2 linked regions of the Caenorhabditis elegans genome follow. The protein of the gene in region 1 interacts with the protein of each later gene in a pairwise test. Each region holds a gene or a part of one and is shown on either strand. Other genes may lie near its edges.

The links.
Region 2: the proteins of nhr-69 (region 1) and hlh-34 interact in a two-hybrid assay, tested with the Caenorhabditis elegans proteins (one large-scale study listed by BioGRID).

What each region holds. Positions count from the first base shown.
Region 1 is NC_003279.8:9,878,563-9,883,594, forward strand, and holds nhr-69 (Nuclear hormone receptor family member nhr-69), read right to left. Parts: upstream 2,943-5,032; 5' UTR 2,932-2,942; coding exon 2,775-2,931; intron 2,670-2,774; coding exon 2,604-2,669; intron 2,555-2,603; coding exon 2,412-2,554; intron 2,196-2,411; coding exon 2,040-2,195; intron 1,846-2,039; coding exon 1,700-1,845; intron 1,645-1,699; coding exon 1,465-1,644; intron 1,418-1,464; coding exon 1,312-1,417; intron 1,267-1,311; coding exon 1,168-1,266; intron 897-1,167; coding exon 828-896; 3' UTR 621-827; downstream 1-620. Other genes in the region: inx-20 (Innexin), read left to right, coding at 1-81, 421-557. UniProt on the Caenorhabditis elegans protein: Orphan nuclear receptor which, in cooperation with R-SMAD daf-8, modulates the Insulin/IGF-1-like signaling (IIS) pathway, perhaps by regulating expression of the potassium channel exp-2, which in turn modulates the secretion of insulin-like peptide daf-28.
Region 2 is NC_003283.11:13,705,338-13,709,417, forward strand, and holds hlh-34 (Helix-loop-helix 34), read right to left. Parts: upstream 2,059-4,080; 5' UTR 2,019-2,058; coding exon 1,991-2,018; intron 1,941-1,990; coding exon 1,696-1,940; intron 1,652-1,695; coding exon 1,496-1,651; intron 1,189-1,495; coding exon 649-1,188; 3' UTR 630-648; downstream 1-629. Other genes in the region: T01D3.3 (Thyroglobulin type-1 domain-containing protein), read left to right, coding at 162-317, 406-561, 2,205-2,310, 2,461-2,629, 2,676-2,868, 2,919-3,059, 3,106-3,343, 3,516-4,080. UniProt on the Caenorhabditis elegans protein: Transcription factor. Involved in specifying AVH neuron identity, acting in concert with unc-42. Involved in serotonin-mediated feeding behavior, probably acting by modulating expression of genes involved in glutamate signaling.

The sequences.
Region 1 (5,032 bases):
TCAGAGAGATTTTGGAAGATAAAAGTTACGGTGACGACTATGATAGATCTGCTTCTGCTGGTGGTTTATCTATTGAACCAAGTAAGTTTTCAAGAACGTAGTGAATTACCTGACCAAGCGTACTAAGAATCATGCATTTTCTTCCACCGAACAATTTGGAATTACGCATTCTCGGTCTTTTTTTGTGATGGCTAGACCTAGATGTTCAGACTGATTATCATAAAGGTGCTCATCTAGTTAATGCAAATTTGTTCTGCCGTTTAAAAAAGTATGATCCGGTTAAAAAAGAGTCTCGCAAAATTTGAGTCAGTTTCAAAGAGAAACTATTTCCGAGAGGTGTTAGTATCATTCATAGCTTATGAAAAATAAATACATTTTAGACTTGTTCTCATTTGCCTGAATACTATGCACCCTTTTCAGGTCTGCGACGGAAAACATCAGTTTTGGTTCCTCTCATGAGTCGAGAAGATTTACATTTGGATCAATCTCCAACTACACCAGCTCCTCAATTCCTTCGACCTCCAAGCAGCCGAATGGCTTCAGCTGCGAATGTATAATAATTTCAATATTTTGTTGTTTTCCTGATACCGAATTAATTGTTGTTACAATTTCAAATATTTGCATGACATGAAATAATAATTATTAAAATAATAATAAAACCAACATAGAAAAAGGAAACAATGAGGTGGTTTGAGCAGGTAAGTAATGTGTCCGTTGGGACCCGATTTCTAGAAGTCAAAGTTTGGAAGTATTTAGATGGTTTGAGCAGGAAGGGAGGCAAGATGAGATTATGGTCTCTTGAATATAAAATATTGGAAAATTGGAAACTATTCTTCCAATTCAACTTCTGCTTTAACGGACGAGTTCACCGGTGATGCCAGACTCGTTTGTAATATCTGAAAACAAAAATTGTGAGATTGAAATTGTCTCTGGAACTTATTAGGGTCTTCCACAAAACCACCATAAGCTTAACAGTCACAAAGCACAAAAGAAATCCGCATATTTATTGACCTATTCTCCTTAGATAGACTAAACAAAATTTGTTGTGCATATTCCACATTTGGAAGAGTTTGAAATAAAATTCCCCGGGCTCAGGATTTAGGTTTTGAAAGTTGCCAATAACTAAGATATTCCTTTCATTGTTCTGCTTTTCAAAATAAAAATTACCTGTGGATCTGAAGGTTTCATATCATTTAGAATAAGTTCTTCCATTAACGAATCGACATTCACGAGACCGAACAAACGAGCAAGTTGGACATCTTCTACCTTTAAATTCATAAATTACTAATTTGAATAACAATTGTAACTAACCAATTGTTGAGCAATAGCCTGAAGTGATGGAAGTAATAACAAAAGCTTTCCACTTCTGCAATCCATTGATTCGTCTTCCATATTTTCAAGTGCCTTGTCAGTACACCTGAAATATATTACATTTGTTATAGAAGCTAGTATTGTCAAATAAACCTTCTCTGCAATGACCTCAAAAAAGCATATCGGGCGTTCTCCACCGGACTCTGATCGTTGATTTCTCTGACGACTGGATTGAAAAACAGAATAGCTTTCAGTGCAACATATTCAATTAAATCCATATTTAACCTCCTCATTGGATTCACAATTTCATCAATAATTCGTCCGACGACACAACTGAAATGACTGTACAAAACCTGAGAATACAGATATGAAATGAGAATATACTCACTTGATATCTCCCACTTGTGTTGCATGTTCTTTTGGAAGAAGTGTGTCATTTGCAAGGCAAATTGTATTTTCAACTGTCAGACAAATCGATCGATATGCTACTCCAAGTACAATTATTGACGCGGCACCGCCTTTGAGAAGAGCTGCCTGGAATTATGAAATTGTTGCTAGAAGTCGTCATTTTTTAAAAAAGAAAGTATGAAACAAGTAATTGCAGTATTTTCAGTATTAAACTCGCTACTATGACAGCTAAATAATATCTCTGTTGTTTTTGATTTTATCAAAAAAAAAATCATCTAACAAATATTTTTCTGAAATTTTTCATAGAAAAAAAATCATACCTGATCTGCTTGAGCCAAAAACGAGAATTGAGGTAATGACTTCGCCCATTCGATAAAAAGAACCAATTGTTGATGAATCGATTTTCCAATATCATCCAATGTGGCAGCTCTCGCATCTTCATAATTCCATTTAACTTTTCCACAGTCGTATGGTGCCTGTAAAACACGTGGATTCAATGTGATTATTGACTGAGATCAAGAGGTGAAACTAGAAAACAGATTTTTCTGGGGGCGGAAAAAGAACCACCAGGTACAAATTCCGGCATAATTAAACCGTGTTTCTTAAGTAAAGAAAATCAAGAACTTTCCAAATTGAAAGAAATCCCTCTTGACGAAATTTGAAGCACTGCGTTTAATCCCAATCAAACTTACAAGTGAAGATGTATTCTTGATTACACTGGACCTTAATTGCTGACATAATGTTTCTGCGGCAACAAGTTGATCTATCAAATCTTCTTTTTCAGCTCCCGTAGTCTTTTTCCGTTTTCCAATTGCATCCCGTTCATTTTGAATTGCTGAAATAGTACAGGCTATTTTTATAAAAAAGTATTGGAATGATCTCACCATTACTCTTCATTCCCGCTTTTACACATTTTTGAAGTCTACATGCTCGACATGCGTTCCGTTTATCTGAAATAAGAGGAAATATTACATATTTATTACATTGGAGGACCGACTTGCTTTTGGAAATTTCAGAAACCAACGGCCCAAAAACTTTAAAAACTATAAACATACTTTTGGTAACATCACAATTTTGTTCAAATCTGCATTGATAATGATATCGTTTGCGAATACTTCGTCGAAAGAATCCTTTACATCCATCACAACTGATTGCCCCGTAGTGTTTACCAGTTGATTTGTCGTTGCAAATATGACATATTTCTTCGACCATACTTTTTGTCTAAATATTTATGTAATTGTGCTCTATTAGATAATATGAATCAATAATAAAAAGTAGGAAGAAGCGGAATAGAATATTTGATGAGCAAGTTTAAATTCAAATTAGATGTCCAAAAACTAGATCTTACATAGATCTAAGCCTAGATAGGCCTACCTACGTGCCTACAAGGCAGCTTTGAAGACCACCTACTCATGAAAAGACATAATTTAATTTACAGAAATGCAGGAATAGGAAACCTAAAGCAAACCAGTGTGGCATGTTCTCTCGATATTTTTTATTTAAATTTGGTGACAGAATATATCGCATTTTTTGTTTTATTGGAAAATAACCTTTATTCGTCCGAAAAACTGTTCGAAAGTTGCAATTTGCCTAATTTTTTACCTCCATTTTCAAATTTCAGATACTATGAGAACTCCCTGGCTCATGTAGAATTACTGGTGGGCATATTCCGCGCGCCATTGGCCTGTAGGCACGTATGTCGGTATATATGTATATGCCAGGGTGGAAAACATAGAGATTTTTCAAATCTGAACATTTAATAAAGTATCTCAATTTCTAGTTGAAACTTTTCTAGAACAAAATTCTAGTTTAGTCTATCCTTCTTTGTACCCGACTTCATAAAAACTGATCTTCCTGATTTCAAATTGTCAATGATCCTTAAAACGTGTGTGAAGAACAAAAAAAGAGAGTATGAAGAAGCAGGAAAATGATTGGAAAAAGAAGAAAAAGAATACATTGTATTGGAGAGCGTATGATGGGTGTTTGATAAGAATGGCGGGAAGAAGGGGGCAAAGAAGTGACAAACATGTGAAAGAAACGACGAAAAGACAATTATAAAATGAGAGAGTGGGTAGAGAAAATGAGAAATTTATAGAAGGACTGATAAGGGTCTTGCAGAGATCGGGAATACAATATTGAAAGACGACTGTAATTTCTGGAATTTCAGTTTAAGAAAACGCAGCTCATTCGAAGTTCGAACGGGAGGGGTTGAGAATGATTTGGTTCATTTACAGGTTTTACAAATCCCGGGCTTCCGAACTCATGTCTAGAAATGGAAGAGCTGGTCGCGATGGATTTACGCAGTCTCTCGAGGAGAATAGGATTTTTCAATTTTCAGCTGAATTTTTCGAGCATTTTTGCTAAATTTTTTGAATTTAACATTAAAACTCGCCTGGTTGACTTATTTAGATAGATTCGGTTAAAATCAACGTAGTTAATGTCAAAAACTATCAAAAAAATGAATCTTTATAGTTTTTGTTTTTTGATGTTTGTTTTTTGATTTTGACAAACTGATTTTTACTTGAAATAATATGAATATGAAGAGTTATGGAAAACAACAGATATCTCAAAAATGTGATTTATTGTAATTTTAATAGCTTCTCACATTTTCCGTTCTTTCCGATGGTCACCTTGTACCGTACTTTACAAGCGAATGTATTGGACACTACTGCTACAGTAACCCTTTTTTGACTCCCATTCTGAAAAACCCGGCTTATGAACTGTCGGGTATTATTGCGCCGAAAATACGGTAGCCGGTCTCGGCACGACAAACTTTTGTTAAATTCTTATTTTTATAAATTTCCCATGAGATTGTGTTTTTCACTCGTGTATTTTCTCAGTTTCTCTGTTAATTTTTATCATTTTTTTTGTCGTGTCAAGACCCGGCACCGTATCTTTCGCTCAAAAATCGCAAACATTGTTTGAAAATCGCACGAAACACCGCGCTTCCCGTCAGAATGCAGAAAATAGGCGGCAGGTATGCAAGGCACGATCGCCTGTCCTGACGACATGCCTGCCTACCACTGAAGCCAAAAATGAAAACGGTTGACAATTTGATCTTCGAAAAATCGATTAAAATTCCTTTTCAGACGTAAAGTGAGAGTGACAACGAAAACAAACATGCGACACACAAATTTCAAAATACATTAAAAATCACCTGATTTATTATTTTTAAGGGAAGAGGCGGAATTGAGAAAAACGTACAGTTGCTAAGTTTTAATGTTTCATAGATCATACGGAAAACAATACGATCAGTGATCATCTGTGACATCTTAAATGGAACGGAATAATTGATAACATGATAAGTATCGAT
Region 2 (4,080 bases), on another chromosome or scaffold:
TTCGAAAACTGAGAAAAAAGACCCACACTAATGCTAAAATAAGAAAATCAAAAAAAAAAAACCGAACTTCACAAAAAACTACGAAAGTTACGCAGGTATGATACCTGCAGATGTGCCTGCCTACCACATAATCGATAGTTTTAACTGCTTATTTTTTTTAGGATTATGTGAAGCCGAAGGATCATGTCGACATTGTGCAGACAGTAGATATTCATACTATCGATGCCGTATGCAGGATGACTGTTTTATTGGCGAAATCTGTGATAATGGATTTTGCTGTCCCAACGTTTTGCCAACATTTTCTCTTCAACGAGAACGTGAGTTTCTATCTTGTTTTATTTTTTGCCTACAATTAACTATCAATACTTTTACTAACATAATCTAACACACTGCACTATTTCTCAGCAACTAGTCCTAAACCAAAAAGACCATTAAATATCACATCGGATCCCCCAGCTGATGAGCCATGTCCAGATGAATCTAGATGGTCAAAAAGGTGCTCAAGAGATGAGGATTGTACTCATCAAGAAGAACTTTGCATCGAGGGAAAATGTTGTAAAAGTGCGTTTATTTTTTAAATTTGAAACCAAAGTGTTTATCTTCTTTGAAATTAGCGTAATAAAAAAAGAAATAAAATAAAGTTGGAGGTCATAGAATTGAGGAAACAAATGTGATCGAGTCATTAAACTGTTTAGAGGAAATCGAAGTATGACGAAAAATATTTGACTCGACGTAAAAAGTTTCACTTGTTTGATTCAAGATCATTCGATAGTACGGGGTTTTATAAGCGCCCAGGTTGAAAATATCGAAATGCATTTTTGATATAACTTCAGAATCTGAGATATCAATCAGTGAATATAATGACATTCCTTTGATATTTGAATCTGGGTAAAATGGGTTATTAAGCAACTGATGAGCTTTTTCATCAGCAAATGTTATATGAAGATCGATGGATGTAATGATAACAAATGAATTAGAAGGAATGGTTACTGTAGAAAGAACTGGAGTAGGCATTGGATAACATGCAATCATTCTAGTATTTGTATTTGGACCCATTGTAATTTCTAGACGAAGAACCTTGTATCCAGGTGAAGCACGAACTGCATCCTTGTTTGCTCGCTTTGTGAGACTAGATTTAACACGTACGTTGCACATTTGAGGCCAATTAAGGTCACAATAGTTAAGGGCCTGTAAAGAGAAATTACTACATTTAGTCAAAAAATTCTCTGAGATTGTGCGAAAATGACTCCAAAATGATTCCAGTTAGGAGTTGCTTTTAAAAAACAGAAAAAAAATTAAAAATATATATTAAAAATAATATATATTTTTAAAAAATGTTTTAAAAATTATTGCAACTTAATTAGGCTACAGCTGTAAGCTTAAACTTCTTTCCATACTTGATTTCAGGATGTTTTTGTGAAAGTTCAAAACTTGTAACTATAATAAAATATTTTTCCTGAATTTAATTATGTTAAATCAAAAACTTAAAAGTTACCGAGTTAAAGCAATTGATATCCTGTTCATGAATATAATCAACCATCGCGTTGCCAGTCATTTCAACTTGTGACAAGCCCAAGTAAATACTAATAGTTTCACTTATGTAAAGTACATCTCCGCGCCTGTCCAGTATCACAAAGAATCCATCTAGTAGCTGAAATTGAAATTAAAAAAAAAACGGTAAAAAACCATCCTTACATCTAAATGATTGTTAGTCCATAAAGAGTCACTTCCATAATAATAGTCAGCTGAACTGTAGGCTCTTTGAGATTGCCCAAATATATTGTGAAGTTTGATATAAGCAGTTGCTAATCTAACCATCGTTGTTTTATCAATATGCTGTCCAGAAATTGCTCTTGCCAATGGAAGTTCATTGGCTAGCTGTGAGAATTCATAATTTTCCATTTGTCTTCTCTGCTGGGCTTGTGATTTTGACGGTTTTTCTAAAATATTGATTTGTTTCTTTCAAAACATATTTTCTAAAATTGCTTACGTTTTTCTTCAGAAAGATTAGTCTCCATTTCTCAAGTGGTTATAAGTCAAGCGACAAATAAAATACATATAAAAAATAAATGAATGACCCAATATGTACAAGCTCTCATAATATATAATTAGCATGCAGATCATGCCATTCGAGAGCCAAACTAATTACACAATATGACATACAATTGAATTCTCCCCTCTTTGTCTATTTCAAATTTTTGTAGCATGTGCAATGAGGAGACGAGAGCTTCTCGATGAGCTTAGATCGTTGGAAATTGTTGGACAAGCGATACCACTATGTGAGGAAAGTGGATTGGCATGGAGAAGAAGGTAAAAGGGAATTCAGATATTGAATAGGAACATAGTGAGAACAGTATTAGTTACAAAGTTTCAAATTTAGCTGAAGATACCCAATATTCTCAAAAATATTTGTAGCATCACAGACATCTCACTATCAGACTACAATAAACCCAATTTCAGACAATGCTTGGCTGGAACAGAAGTTTGTTGGTGCGTGACAAGGTATGGAAGAAGATTATCCGGAAAAGAAAGCAAAGACGAAAAGGGATGTGAAACTGTGAGAAGAAAACAAGAAAATCTTGCATTGAAAGCTGCTGCATTATTAAGAGAACAAAAAGAAAGGGAAGAGGTATCAATCAGTTCTCTAATTTCAAAAATTCAAGACATATTTACAGACATGCAAGAGTACATCACCTGGAGAATGCCCCCTCCCGTTGAACACTTCTATAACCACACTAACCCGTTGCTTCTGTGATTCTGAATGTGAACGGGGATCTAAATGTTGCCCCGGTTCCATAACTAACTCTAACTATCACGCTTGCTTACCAGCATTAACAAAAATAATGAACGAACCTATTTCTAATGAAAGTCTGTTGTCTGCCTAAACTAGCTTCTTATAACATTTTACATTTTTTCAGTAAACCCAACGATTGCCATGGTATGTGGCGCGAATGAGCAATATTCAGCATGTTTCTCCTCTTGTCAACCATCATGTCAAGATCCTTCAACACCAGCTTGCCCGGCTCCCGGATGCCAACCTGGATGCATTTGCCTACCAGGTAACTTTCGATAGTTAACTATATATTAACTCTTCATCATTGCTAGGATACATCCGACGTGACAGCTCTCCCCGTTCAGCATGTGTTCCGCGAGGCTTGTGTCAAGCTTATGATCTGACGATTCGTTGTGCAGACGAGAAAAGGCAATATCAGACATGTGGAAGTGCATGCCCAATTAGTTGTGCTACAAGAAATCAACCGAGATGTAATGAGAGATGTGTGACTGGATGCTTCTGTAAAATTCCGTTTATCCTTGAAAATGCAGACGATCCTCTTCATTCAAGGTAGGTTAAGCTTAAACTCGGAAGTGGCTGCTGATTTAAAAAAAATTCTCCATTTTTATATTACTTTTACAAGAAAAATATTCACATTGGGAAAACTTTAACAAGATTTTGAACCGAATGGACAAAACTCGATTAAACCGTAACAGAAACTTTAAAATTGGTCTATTTTCAGATGCATTCTTCCATCTTCGTGCCCCGAAATCCCAACACCAGCGCCAGAAATAGTTGAGCAATTTGTGCAGCGTAATCCTGGAATGATTGGAAGTTTTGGAAATACGAATATTCAATATCCAACCTCCCCAAGAGCTACACCATCTCCCGTATTCACTACTACCACTCGTGGATTAACAACTTCACAACAAAAACTTCCCACTCTTATTCCCGAGCAACACTGTGAACATCCATTGAAAAACTATCAAAGCTGTGGAAGCAAGTGCCCTGCATCTTGTGATCGACCTCTTTCACAAGCAGCGTCAATTGACTGTGCTCTTTCTTGTGAACCTGGATGTTTCTGTCGACTTCCGTATGTTCTTGCCGATTCGAAGGATCCAAACTCCACATGCATTCTCCCTCAATTATGTTCTAGAAAATCAATTCCACCATCAACTGCAAGCGTTCCAGCATCCCAATCTTGCCCGGATCCAAGAAAAGAATGGAGTCAATGCGGAGCTCTGCATTGCTCAAGATCATGTGCGAACCCTCTGGGTCGATGTGGCTCCGGACAATGTTTTTCAGGA